3 linked regions of the Oryctolagus cuniculus genome follow. The protein of the gene in region 1 purifies or fractionates together with the protein of each later gene. This does not show direct contact. Links are inferred from orthologs where the notes say so. Each region holds a gene or a part of one and is shown in the gene's direction. Other genes may lie near its edges.

What was found.
Region 2: the proteins of NCK1 (region 1) and WAS purify together in Homo sapiens (affinity purification with western blotting; 4 studies listed by BioGRID and IntAct, with this or other methods). This does not show direct contact. The link is inferred for Oryctolagus cuniculus from reciprocal best matches to the Homo sapiens genes NCK1 and WAS.
Region 3: the proteins of NCK1 (region 1) and PAK1 purify together in Homo sapiens (affinity purification with western blotting; 8 studies listed by BioGRID and IntAct, with this or other methods). This does not show direct contact. The link is inferred for Oryctolagus cuniculus from reciprocal best matches to the Homo sapiens genes NCK1 and PAK1.

What each region holds. Positions count from the first base shown.
Region 1 is NC_091435.1:144,689,056-144,693,293, reverse strand, and holds the start of NCK1 (SH2/SH3 adapter protein NCK1), read left to right. Parts: upstream 1-1,430; 5' UTR 1,431-1,660; coding exon 1,661-1,913; intron 1,914-4,238. UniProt on the Homo sapiens protein: Adapter protein which associates with tyrosine-phosphorylated growth factor receptors, such as KDR and PDGFRB, or their cellular substrates. Maintains low levels of EIF2S1 phosphorylation by promoting its dephosphorylation by PP1.
Region 2 is NC_091453.1:33,872,118-33,876,239, forward strand, and holds the start of WAS (actin nucleation-promoting factor WAS), read left to right. Parts: upstream 1-1,318; 5' UTR 1,319-1,388; coding exon 1,389-1,520; intron 1,521-1,817; coding exon 1,818-1,958; intron 1,959-3,382; coding exon 3,383-3,469; intron 3,470-3,570; coding exon 3,571-3,673; intron 3,674-3,769; coding exon 3,770-3,811; intron 3,812-3,904; coding exon 3,905-3,958; intron 3,959-4,122. UniProt on the Homo sapiens protein: Effector protein for Rho-type GTPases that regulates actin filament reorganization via its interaction with the Arp2/3 complex. Important for efficient actin polymerization. Possible regulator of lymphocyte and platelet function.
Region 3 is NC_091432.1:68,610,730-68,614,961, reverse strand, and holds the start of PAK1 (serine/threonine-protein kinase PAK 1), read left to right. Parts: upstream 1-1,428; 5' UTR 1,429-2,011; intron 2,012-4,232. UniProt on the Homo sapiens protein: Protein kinase involved in intracellular signaling pathways downstream of integrins and receptor-type kinases that plays an important role in cytoskeleton dynamics, in cell adhesion, migration, proliferation, apoptosis, mitosis, and in vesicle-mediated transport processes.

The sequences.
Region 1 (4,238 bases):
AGTACTGTTTTTAACTATCAGAAAACATCAAAAACTAAAATATAGTGTACTTCCCAGTAGTAAATAAAGTATTAGAATATTAGTTTCTGAGCTAAAGCATTTACATTGTTTTAAAGATAAATTGGTAGTTGTTGCTGTGCCGTTTAACTGTTGGGATAATGTTTTTTTAGATTCTAATTTTTTTGCAAACAGGACCATTAGTTTTTTTTTTTGTTTTCTTCCTTTTTTTTTTTTTTTTTTTTTTTTGACAGGCAGAGTGGACAGTGAGAGAGAGAGAAAGAGAAAGGTCTTCCTTTTCTGTGGGTTCACCCAACAATGGCCGCTGCGGCCGGCGCACCGGGCTCATCCCAAGGCAGAAGCCAGGTGCTTCTCCTGGTCTCCCATGGGGTGCAGGGCCCAAGTACTTGGGCCATCCTCCACTACACTCCCAGGCCACAGCAGAGAGCTGGCCTGGAAGAGGGGCAACCAGGACAGAATCTGGCGCCCCGACCGAGACTAGAACCCGGAGTGCTGGCGTTGCAGGTGGATGATTAGCCTGTTGAGCCGCGGCACCAGCCAGGACCATTAGTTTTTAAATGGAAGGCAAATCAGAATGTGATTTTCTTTACATAGTTGAAGAGACCAGTGTTAGAACCAAGAATACTTCTGGTTTTGTAAATACTGAACATTTATTGAAAGCATGTTGATGAAAAGTATTGAAGGAGAGCAAGGTAACTTCTTTCAAGAAAGTATAACTCATAGTGATGAATGCACAGAGAATACTAGACATATCTATATAGAGTTTTTGTTCCTTTTTAGTTTGTTTTTAAAAATTTATTTGCAAGGCAGAGAAAAAGACACAAGAGAAAGAGATCACCAATTAGCTGGTTCACTGCTTACACTTCACTCCTCATTGTGAACAGAACCCTGCTGAAGCTGGGAGCCAGGAACTCGTTCTGGGTTTCCCATGTGGGTGGCAGGGTCCTTTACCCATTACTTGCTGCCTCCTAGAGTATACAGAAGCAGAGCTGAGACTCAAACCCAGGTACTCTGATAAGGGATGCTGGTGTCGCAAATAACTGCTATTCCAAACCACTGCCCCTGTTTGTTTTTAATAGGATCCTGGTGTCTGGAATTAGAGAGATGTGATAGTAGTTACAAAAGATAGTGAAAAACTATTATCTTAGAGCAAACAGGACAAATATGCCAGTTTTAGTTATTGTATATAAATCTGAAAGTTAATTAGAATTAATTTTTATTAATATTACTAGGAAATTTTCCATATTTTCTGATATTATTGAGACAGTTTTAGCAAGGTTTATAATTCTGTAAGATTTAAGAAATCGCTGTTAACTTTATTACAATATGATGGTTATTACTACCTTTATTTCTGGGTGCTTGGAAATATTGGTAGTATATAGTTACATAGTATAATGATGTAAATCCAACTTATGCATTGGATAACCTTCTTTTCTTTAGCATTTCTGTGTCTCTTTTTGGTAACTCAAATGTCTTATTTAATGGGTTTGTTTCACAGTGATTGTGCTGGTGGAGACATTGTTTGAAAGTTTAGGAAAAGGAAAAATGAATGCAATAGTATATTTTTAAGTGTTAGAAAATGTATAGGCTTTAAAACTCCTTCTAAAGTAAGTGTGAAGAATAGGTTACTTTTTTGACCATTATGATTTACTTATTTTACAGATTCTGTTATAGTTTATGGGGAAAAAAGTTTTGGAAAGAGAAGCTTCAGAAAAGCTTTCTGTTGCTTGGGTGTGGGCCAGGTCACATGGATTGGGTGTGGGAAGTTTCAGTGTTGCAGAACAGACCAGGAAGCTCCCTGAGAATTATCCTGAGCTGTGTTAACAAGCTTACAAAAGAGAACACAGAATTTGTATTCAAAATGGAATGGTTAAACGTCTTTAAAGATTTTTTCAGTAAGTTAATCTGTTTATTAAATCTGTAGTTTTCTTGTTACAGTTTTTGGATTAGATTTTTCCTTTTTGTGAATTTAAAGGGAAACCGTAGAGAGAACTTGTTCGGTTTTTATAAGCTGGTACTTTTGTGTTGTTTCATACAAGCTAAATTATTGATCATGTATCAAATAACATTAGTTTAACTGCGTAAGATAATTTTTAAATATTTGAGTATGATATTTAAATAACATATAAGGAAAGGATAAAAATGCTTGGGTTTCATACAGTTCTAGTTCAATAATTTTCAGCTTAGCACAAACATTGACGTGAAATCAATGGTAAACAATTAAAAATAATTAGGTGAGCAAACTCCATATTTGACTTCTGAGTTAACATGATATTGCTTTACTACTTTTCACTTACAGTAACAGTATAAAGAATGATATTTAATGGAAAGTGCTAGTAAAATACTGAAGAATTTAATATTAAAAGAGTGTAATCCATATGTCTATTGATGACTTTTTATGATCTTATGATAATGAGTTTGATTTGATCTTGAGTATTGGTGTTTCTAGAAAAATGAGCAGAGGAATTATTGTGCAAGATTTTTATGTACGAAGAGCCTGAGAAGCAAGAGTTACCTGGTGAGAGATTACAGAGAAAAGCACAAAACAAAAAAAGAGTAACCACTTTCTCTAAAAAACAAACAAAAAGTGACTACAATGTGAAGATTTATTTAGTTAGTTAGCTGTGGTGTCTAAGTGAGTCCCTCTGGAATATGTCTCTTAACTTCAGTTTACTTTTTGAAGTGTTATTAAGTCAGATCTTTGCATTTCCATTTTTTGAATGATCTTTCCTTTTAGAGATTTATTGGTTTATTTATTCATTTGCTGATGAGCCATTTTTCATTGAGTGCCTACTATAAGCGAAGATCAGAGTAATAAAAAAAGAGGGTGAAAAGAATGTTGTATCACCAATACAGAGATTCAATATATTTCATCTTAACAATGCAATGATAAAATTAACATTTTCTCTACTGATCTTATGGAATTGGTAGTTAACCTTAAGTACATTTTTATACTGAGGTTCAGGATTTGAGATTTGTAGCCATATCATTCCTTTCTTGAGTTCTTGCAACACATTGAAGTTTATACATCTCTTGCCAGGTAGCTCATCAGGAGAGACAAGGCTAGGCTATTTATCAATCTACTCCTCAAATGGACTTAAAAAAATAGAGAAAAAAAGGATATGGTGCATCTTGTGTAATAGCCAGAATACCCTTGAAAACAAAATTGCTCAATGTTTTAGATAAAATAATAAAAAAATAATATGTGTGGATGAAATAAACAGGTGAAAATACAAAAATTCAAATAACCCATGATGGAAAGAATACCATATATTTGGTTTTAGAATTCCTTAGTTCTGTTTTCTGATATACTATTAACCAGCGTTATGACCTAGGGTATATAATTAAAGCTTCCTGATTTTCTGAGAGTTGAGTAAGACTAGACGATCCTGGAAAGTCCCTTCTAACTCTAAAAGTTTTATGGTCCTGGTGAAAATAGATGGTCATGTGTATGTCCTAAGAGTTGGGGGAATCTGTTAGGGAGAAATTGGTTTTGAGGAAGCACATAAGAGCAGAAGTATTGTTCAATAAGCAATTAGAAGAAGTAGTAATACTTTCTTGGTGCTCATTCTGCTTTCTATTATTCAGTCATTCAGATGAAGGGGAAATGACATGCCTAAAAAGTAGGGAAGACTAATACTGGAAAATTTAACATACATTAGATTCACAGAATATTTGAAAATTTAAAATCAAGATATAAATAAGATGTATAGGAACTGGCAGTAATATAAAATGTTGCATGAAGTTTTTAAAGAAGTTGAAAAAAATGCTGAGAACTTATCTTGGCAACAGTTGATATGAGTGAAAGACTGAGGAAGAGCTGCTGGGTAATGTAGGTGGGGAAGTCTCGCACAGTCCATGGTGGCATTGGTTCAAGTTTGTGGGATGCTCAAGTGAAGGGATGCAGTAAGCTCCCTTTTGTATGTGCTGGGGCCAGATAAACTATGATGTAGTTATTCACTTTGGATAGATACCCTTTAATGATGATATTGAGACACTCAAATGCTTCCAAACACGGACATCCAGTATATCAAGGATTTGCAAGCCAAGTTGCATAAAGAATAGTTATGGGTACTGAGATTGTGTCAGGAAGAGGACAGATATCACACAAAGACAGAATGTTCAGAATGCTTGATCATGTTCTTAAACTTTTGAGAAGTTTAATAATGCATTATTTTGCTTAAAATGTAGTGCTGTAGGAAGAGAAGTGTAAAACCAGT
Region 2 (4,122 bases), on another chromosome or scaffold:
TACTGCTTTCCCAGGCCATAGCAGAGAGCTGGATCAGAAGTGGAGCAGCTGGGACTTGAACCAGCAGCCATATGGGATGCCGGTGCTTCAGGCCAGGGCTTTAACCCGCTGCGCCACAGCCCTGGCTCCATAAAGTTCCTTTATTTTAATAAAGAGCTGAGCGAAGGGGCCCGGTGCTGTGGCATAGCAGGTAAAGCTGCCACTTGTGGTGCTGGCCTCCCATATGGGCGCCAGTTCAAGTCCTGACTGCTCCGCTTCCGATCCAGCTCCCTGCTAATGCTCCTGGGAAAGCAGTGGAAGATGGCCCAAGTGCTTGGGCCCCAGCACTCATGTGGGCAACCCGGAAGAAGCTACAGGCCTCTGGCTTCAGATCGGCCCAGCTTCGGCCGTTGCGGCATTTTGGGGAGTGAACCAGAAGATTGAAGATATCTCTCTTTCTCTCCTTCTCTATCCCTGTCTTTCAAATAAATAAATAAATGATTTTTAAAAATTAAAAAATATATATATATATAAAGAGCTGAGGGACGGCGCTGGGGTGCAGTGAGTTAAGCCATAAGCTGTGACACTGGGAGCCCATGTGGGAGCACCAGTACAAATTCTGGCTGCTCCACTTCCGATCCAGCTCCCTGCTAATCCACCTAGGAAGGCAGCAGCAGACGACCCAAGTGCTTGGGCCCCTGTACCCACGTGGGAGACCTAGATGGGGTTCTGGGCTCCTGGCCTGGCCCTACCCTCACTGCTATAGCCATTTAGAGAGTGAACCAGCATATGGAAGATTCTCTCTCTCTTTCTCTCTCTCTGTCACTCTACCTTTCAAATAAATAAACAAAATAAAAACAAAAAAGGGCTGATGGGCAGAAAATAATTTGGTTGCTACAGGAGACAAGGGTAAGGGAAGTGACCTAGGGGTGTGTACCCTGTTGGCAATATCTGTGGCTCAAGATAGGAGTGGGCTCCCAGGGGCTTGCTATGGAATTAAAGGGAAAAGTCTTGGACCTGGGCCCCGGAGTCTATGGTGTTTTGGGGCAGAGGGAGGATTCCCAGCCTGATGGCTCCTCCTCGCCCCAGCCAGCCCTGCAGAAGTACTGCAGATGGCTCAGCTCCTGCTGCCAGCCAGAGAGAGGAAGCTCTGAGTTTGTTGGAGGAGGTGGGCCCCAGAGGATAAGACTGAAGGAGAAGGACCTGAGCTAGTTAAAAAAGATGGGTCTAAGCAGTCCAACAGAGGAGGGCCCGTGGGGAGGACGAGGCCAGGCCTACTGAGAGGCCCCCTGGAGGACTTGTTTCTCTTGTGGTTTTTTTGTACTTCCTGTTCCCTTGCTCACTGCGGAAGTTCCTCTTCTTACCCTGCACCCCGAGCCTAGGCGGAGAGGACAAGGACAGAAGGCACCATGAGTGGGGGCCCTGTGGGAGGCAGGCCCGGGGGTCGAGGAGCACCTGAGGTTAAGCAGAACATTCCCTCCACCCTGCTTCAGGACCACGAGAACCAGCGACTCTTCGAGATGCTTGGACGAAAATGCTGGGTGAGCTGGGGATCTCCCGGCCCTCCCTTCCTCTTCTTCCTCTCCCTCCTGCCTCCTCATCCTCCCCACCCTTTGCCTCTCCCTCTCCATCTCCCCCTCCTCCTCTGCCTCCCCATCAGCCCCTCTCCTAGAAGCCACTTTTCCACTGCTCACCCATCCCAGGAAGATCCCGAGGCCTCCTCACCTTCCTTCGGGCTGCAACTCTTCCTTCAGGCCCATGACAGGGGCACAGGAAGGCCCAGGTCTGGCTCCCCCCACGACCAGACCAGACCCACTGATCCCTGCTCTCCCTCCTAGACGCTGGCCACTGCAGTTGTTCAGCTGTACCTGGCGCTGCCCCCTGGAGCCGAGCACTGGACCAAGGAGCATTGTGGGGCTGTGTGCTTCGTGAAGGATAACCCCCAGAAGTCCTACTTCATCCGCCTTTACGGCCTTCAGGTGACCCTCCCCTCAATGGATAGGCAAACCCGACCTCAACCTGCAAAGCCAGACCTTTGCCCATACATAGCTCTGAGCCCTGGGACCAGATGAGCAAATCCCTGAACCCTAGAACTAAGGCTCCCTCCCCCAGGTCTCAAACTCTGGTTTGCCTTTTTGACTTCACAATGACTGACCCCAGAGTCTCCATATCATGGTATCTCAACCCCCAAATATTAGACCACCTCCCAGGCCCAATTGGGTCTACAAATTCTAAAAACTGACCATTTGATTTATGCCTGTACCTCAAATCTGTTCCCAGCTTGACATGTTGCATCTTAGGAAATCCTCCATCAAAACTCCTGAGCCCCAGATGTTTGCCCAGCTCCTAAGTCATAAGCCTGTTGTTGCTCAGACCCAGAACCTGAAGATTTCATTGAGTCTTGAACTTCTCAAACTCCAAATCAGTCTTTATTTATTTATTAATTTAAGTCAGAGTTACACAGAGAAGGAGAGAGAGAGAGAGAGAGAGAGAGGTCTTCCACCTGCTGGTTCACTCCCCAATTGGCAGCAATGGCCGGAGCTGCACTGATCCAAAGCCAGGAGCCTCCTCTGGGTCTCCCATGTGGGTGCAGGGGCCCAAGGACTTGGGCATCTTTTACTGCTTTCCCAGGCCATAGCAGAGAGCTGGATCAGAAATGGAGCAGCTGGGACTCGAACCGGCGCCCATATGGAATGCCGGCACTGCAGGTGGTGGCTTTACCTACTATGCCACAGCGCAGCCCCCCAAATCAGTCTTTTTAAGCCCACAGCAAGGACCCCAGAATTTCCACATTAACACTTCTGAACACCCAAATAAGGAGGTAGTGCTGCAGCAAAAAACAGACCTGTCTTATCAACCTCCAACCCAAACTTTCCAGGCTTACACCCAAATTCATCCTCCTAAATCCATAAAGATGGACCTACCATCACTTCAAGATGCCAAAGCCATCAACTATTGATCAAACACCACAGCTCTAAGTCTGCTCTACAAACCCTAAAATGCACATACTTTGTCTGGACTCCTCCCCCAACTGCCAAGTCTATATGTCTGAACCTCAAATCTCAACCCCAACTCCCAAATCCTAAAAGCCTACCTTCCATGGAGTTGGGGCAGTGCAGGATCAAGTGAGTCTATGTGTGAGCCTCAATTTCCCGGGTCTTGCAGTCATAAGTTTTCCAAACCACGACCCAGTTCCCACCGCAGAGTCTGATACTCAGACGATATCTCAACCCTCCGATTCTGACACCCAGCCCCCACTCCCTCTGATACTGAGCTGAATATCTCCAAAATTAGACTCCAGAGCCCCAAATCCAGACACCACGCTCCCTGCCCAGATAACAGCTTGTCACCCACCCAGAGGGTGCCTCCGTGCCAGTGTGTCCCCTATCCTGCACCTCTCCAGGCTGGCCGGCTGCTCTGGGAACAGGAGCTGTACTCACAGCTGGTCTACTCCACTCCCACCCCCTTCTTCCACACCTTTGCCGGAGATGTAAGTGATCAACCAACCCCTGCGCAGCAGTAGGGAGCATGGGGAGGGGGTGCTAAAGGTGTGAGGGGCCTGGAAGGCTGCTGACCCTGAGGCATGTGCAGGACTGCCAAGCGGGCCTGAACTTTGCAGATGAGGGTGAGGCCCAGGCCTTCCGGGCCCTGGTGCAAGAGAAGATACAAAAAAGGAATCAGAGGAAAAGTGGAGGTGAGGAGGCCTTGGGGGTAATAAGGAGGTTGCACAGAGATGAATGTAAAGGTGGCAAACTACAAAAGCCCCATCATGATTTTGGCTCCCCAACAGACAGACGGCAGCTACCCCCACCACCAGCACCAGCCAATGAAGGTGAGTCCTCTAGCACAAGTAGCAATAAAAGGGGCCCTGCCCAAGAACCTGTGGCAGGATGGTGATAGCACTTTCCCCTTTCCATCTATCCAGAGAGAAGAGGGGGGCTCCCACCCTTGCCCTCACACCCAGGTGGAGACCAAGGGGGTGAGTGCTGATTCTGCTTTGTGTCTCTGGATGGATAAGTGGGTGAATGGAGGGGCAAACGGGTAGGTATGTGGATGGATGAGCAGGTTCATGGACGTGTGGCTGGATGAATAAGTGCATAGACAGGTGGCAGATAGATGGCTGAGAGGAGGGGATGAATTTGT
Region 3 (4,232 bases), on another chromosome or scaffold:
AGGGAAACTCTAGAAATATTAGTCAAATAAATAAATGAACATGACATTTGAGCTCAGCTTTGTAGAATCAATAGGTGTTGGCCAGTCACATAAGGAGTGAAGGGCTCAGAGACATGAAGAAGTGTGTATTGCGAGAATGTTAAATAGTATTTTAGTGTGGCTGGAGGAAAAGCTATATGATGAGTGATGGAGCTGAAAAAGTCAGGTTGTGAAGTCCCAGGTTAAGGATTTTAGACTTTATCCTGAAAGCAATAAAAACCTTTCAGAGTGTTTAAATAGAGGAGGACATCATCATATTTGTGGTGGTCAGTGGATTGGATCTGGAGCAACTGAAGGTTGCGCCAGTAGTTCATGTGATGGTGGAGGAAGAGAAGGGCAAGGACCTGCAAAGTAGAATTGACAAGACCTGACGTCCAGTTTGGTAGGCAGGTAGAGAGAATCTGGACTTTCGTCCAGGTTTCTGTTTTCACTGACTGCTGGATTGTGTGGTCGATTCACTGAGACCAGGAAGGCACAAGAGTCGCAAGGTTGGAGGGAAATGACTGGTAATAGTCAACATTCCAAAGGGCTGACTATGCTTAATTGTCACTATCATTTTTATGGCTTCAGGTAGGCTTAGAGAGATTAAGTTAAGGATACACAAGTACCACTTATTATGGAGAAAGTATGGTTTAAAAACGTTAAGATCCTATTACTAACATTTATATGGATGATACGTATTTGAAGCAAGACAATCTTGTTCCAGACTTTCAGCCACCAATGCTGTCCAGTACTGGACACGTTGAATCTGAGGTACAACAATGCATGCAGGTGAACGCTGTGGGGGAGGTTTTGGTAAATACATAATCTTTGCTCCAGGGCAAGGTTTGGAGAAAGTAGACATCATACAAAGAGAAAAACGGGAAAGGAAGCCATTTTTTTTTTTCTGTGTCAGGTCACCATGGTTATCCTTTGTCTCCCCACTTTGGCTCCCACATCCTACCCAAAGAAAACAATTAGAATCATAGATAATGTGGCTCTGAGATCACACGAAACCGTTTTCAAATTCAGTCCTTGGAAATGAGCTAACGAATGCGGTGGTGCTTTGTAAGCAGCAGTCCCTGAATCCTGAGGGTTAGCCGCCTTTTTCCGATTGCAGCCATCCCAGAAATTGCCCAAAGGTTTTCAGTCACAAAGTCCATAGCAAAGAAACCTGCGGCGGGTTGAGAGCACCCGCAGAGAGCAGAGGAGCGGGCGCAATGACGTCACAGGCAACCGGGTGATTCCCCAGCCTCTGGCGTCATGAGGCGATGACGTCATCCCGGCGCTCGCCCTCCCCCTCGCCTGGGCTGGTCTCGCTCACGTGGGCCAGCCGGCCCTCCCCGCCCCCTCCCACCTGCGGGAGGCGGGGCGGGCAGGGCTCCGCCGGCGCCGAGGCCTCACAGGGGCGGGGCGGGGGCCGGTGGGCGAGGCGGTCGGGCCCGGGAGGCGGCTTACAATAGGGCGCCTGCGGCGGGGCGGCGGCGGGCAGCGGCTGCCACTGGAACTGAAGGTGCCGGCTACACAGTGGACGCCCCCTCACGGCTGCCCACACACGCCCTCCCCCTCAGCTCGCCCATCGCGCCTCCCCGCCTCGCTCTGCTGTCCTACTCCGGAGACACTTTGCCCTCGGACTCTTCTTTTCTCCGAACCCCGCAGTCCCCAAAATCCCGCTCAAAGAACTCTGCCTCCCCATCGACTTCCCACCTCCCTCCGAGGCCGTCCGAGCCCCTCACATCCCCGCCCCTCTCAGCCCACCGAGCCGGCCCCGCAGCGCCTCCTCCCGCCTCACCGCCCCCTCCCTCGCAGGTCCCTCGGTCCTGAGGGGATCCCCAGAGCCAGCGGCCGGGGGGAGGCGCGCGGCGGCGGCGGCGGGAGGGAGAAAGTGAAGCGGCGGCTCGCGCACACTCGCGCGCTCACCCCCGGCCCGGCCGCCGCCACCGGGGTGGAGGAGCAGGAGGAGGAGCCGAGCGGAGCAGAGCGAGCACGGAAGGTAAGAGCCGGCCTCCGGTCGGTGCCCCTGGCGTTGCGGGCTGTCCCGGCTGAGGCGCGCGGTCGGGGTGGGCTGGACGGGGTGGGGGCCCTGGGCGCATTCATTCTGGGCGCCGGGTCCCGGCGGGCGGGGGCGCCAGGTGAGGTGAGGCGGGCGCCGCCCCGCGAGGCGGGCCGCTCCCGTCGGGCCAACAAAGGCCCCCTGTGCACGCACCCGCGCGACCGCCGGTCTCGGACGCCGGGACATCGGGGGGCCGGGAGGGGGGAGGCCCCGGCGGGGGAGGGGCCGGGCCGAGGCTGGGAGACCAGACAGGTCCGAGTCCGGGACCAGCTCCGTCCCGAACTTGGCCGTCCCGCAGCGCTCACCGTGGCCCGCGACGGGGAAGCCTGGCCACAGGGCGCCCGCTTCATTCTGCGTGGAAAAGTTCCCCAGTCCAGGCTTGGAGAGCCACCGTTAGGGTTCAACTTGAAAAGAAAACAGTAGTGCGATTTATGCAGCCCTTCCCCCATCCCGGGAGTACTCCCTAACTTAGGAAGGTGAAAACAATCGAGGAAGGGAGAATTATAGTTGTTTTGTATTAGCTATTCCATTTCAAAAGACATTATTACAGCGTTCACTGTTTTGAATATTTCAACGGTAAACATTACTGGCAGTGTTTTGGAAGAATACTTAAGAAGTACTGGGTGTGTGTCGGTGTTGCCAGTAAAATCCTTGTTAAACCCCTTGGATAATTGTCTTACACTTCACTGTATTTTTTAACTGTGAAAGGTGAAGGGAAAGGTTGGTATTGTGGTTACCAATAAACATTCAAATCCATCACTCTTGTCTTTAAAGAATTGTTCTTGGGAAAAATGTTTAATTTCGTCAACTGTGTATTTGAGCTTTCTCATCTCTTGTCAGGAGAAAACAGGAGTCCACAGTACAAAGATACCTCATTTGTCTTACCTTGTGGCTTTACCTACTTCCTGTGTGACCTTGAGCAGGTCACTTCCAGCCTTAAAATTCTAGGAGTTTGCTTTTGTGTCCCTGGAATGGGCAGGTAGGCAGCATACCTACTTCACTTTCAAGAGTCCAGTGAAGAATATGCCTCCCCCCAAGTCTTTGCTGGCATCTGTCCCCTCCCTCTCAGGTAGAGCTGACTTCTCCCCGTTGGGGCTTTCAGAGGCCCACTGAGATTTCTCCTATGGCACTTGTAGCATTTTAATTTCTGTTTGGGAAATCCTGAATCAGGTGCATATGAAACCTACCCCACATCAGCTCTAATTCTCAAAAAAGTTTTGGGAATATGGACCCTGAAACATTCCCTGAACCTTATACATACCTTTACGTGAGCTCGTGGGTCTACCTGGTAAAATTGCTTATTCAGTTATTCTCTTATCCATTATTACTGGAATCTGCTTCAAGCCTCTTGCCACAGCCATGGGGATTTCAAGAGTGTTAAGACCTTCCTTGTCTTCAAAGAGCTCAAAGTCTAGTGGGTGAGGTAGACAAGTAAACAATGCAGCCTGCCCTAATCTCCGGGGGACTTCAGTTGTACAGGGAGTAGTGTGCAATAATTGAGGTTGCTGGACCTGTTTTACAAGTTTGCTTCTGGCCAAATTGAGTTCTTCAGGCTGGCCCCTCATCCATAAGAAAAAGTAAAATTCTACATACATTTATTGAGCACAGGTTTTGAGACTCTGTATAGACTTGAAGGAAGCAGCACCTCAAAGGAAGGCATTTGTGTAACCACAGGGATTTTGTAAAACAAAGCGTAATCACTTAAGTAATTCCTACCTCTGACTATTCATTGTCAAAAGATAAATTTCAGACTCCTTAGCTTGGAACTAGAAACTGGAGATCTGAGCATTGTCTACCTTTGCAGCCTCAGTTTTGGTAAACTCTCTCCTACCACTTTTTTCTCATCTGTGCTTCCCCTTGTGCTGTTTCATCTGCCTAGAATGTCTGCCTTCTTCACCTTCCCTGCCTACAGAGGTGTCCTTGTAATAAGTTGCCTTTCCATCCTCTGGCTCATGTACACACCACGTTTTTAGTTCTGTCTGGCACTGTATTACAATTATGTTAAGTCTGTGCTTATCTTTTTTCACTAGCCTGTGAATTTCATGAGGGCATGATCTGTTTAGTTTTAGTGGCTAGCAAAGGACCTGGCATTGAATAAGTGTTTAAATGAATGAATATGTGTATAAAGAATAAAGTCAAGGCCCATGAGTTAGAGATTCCT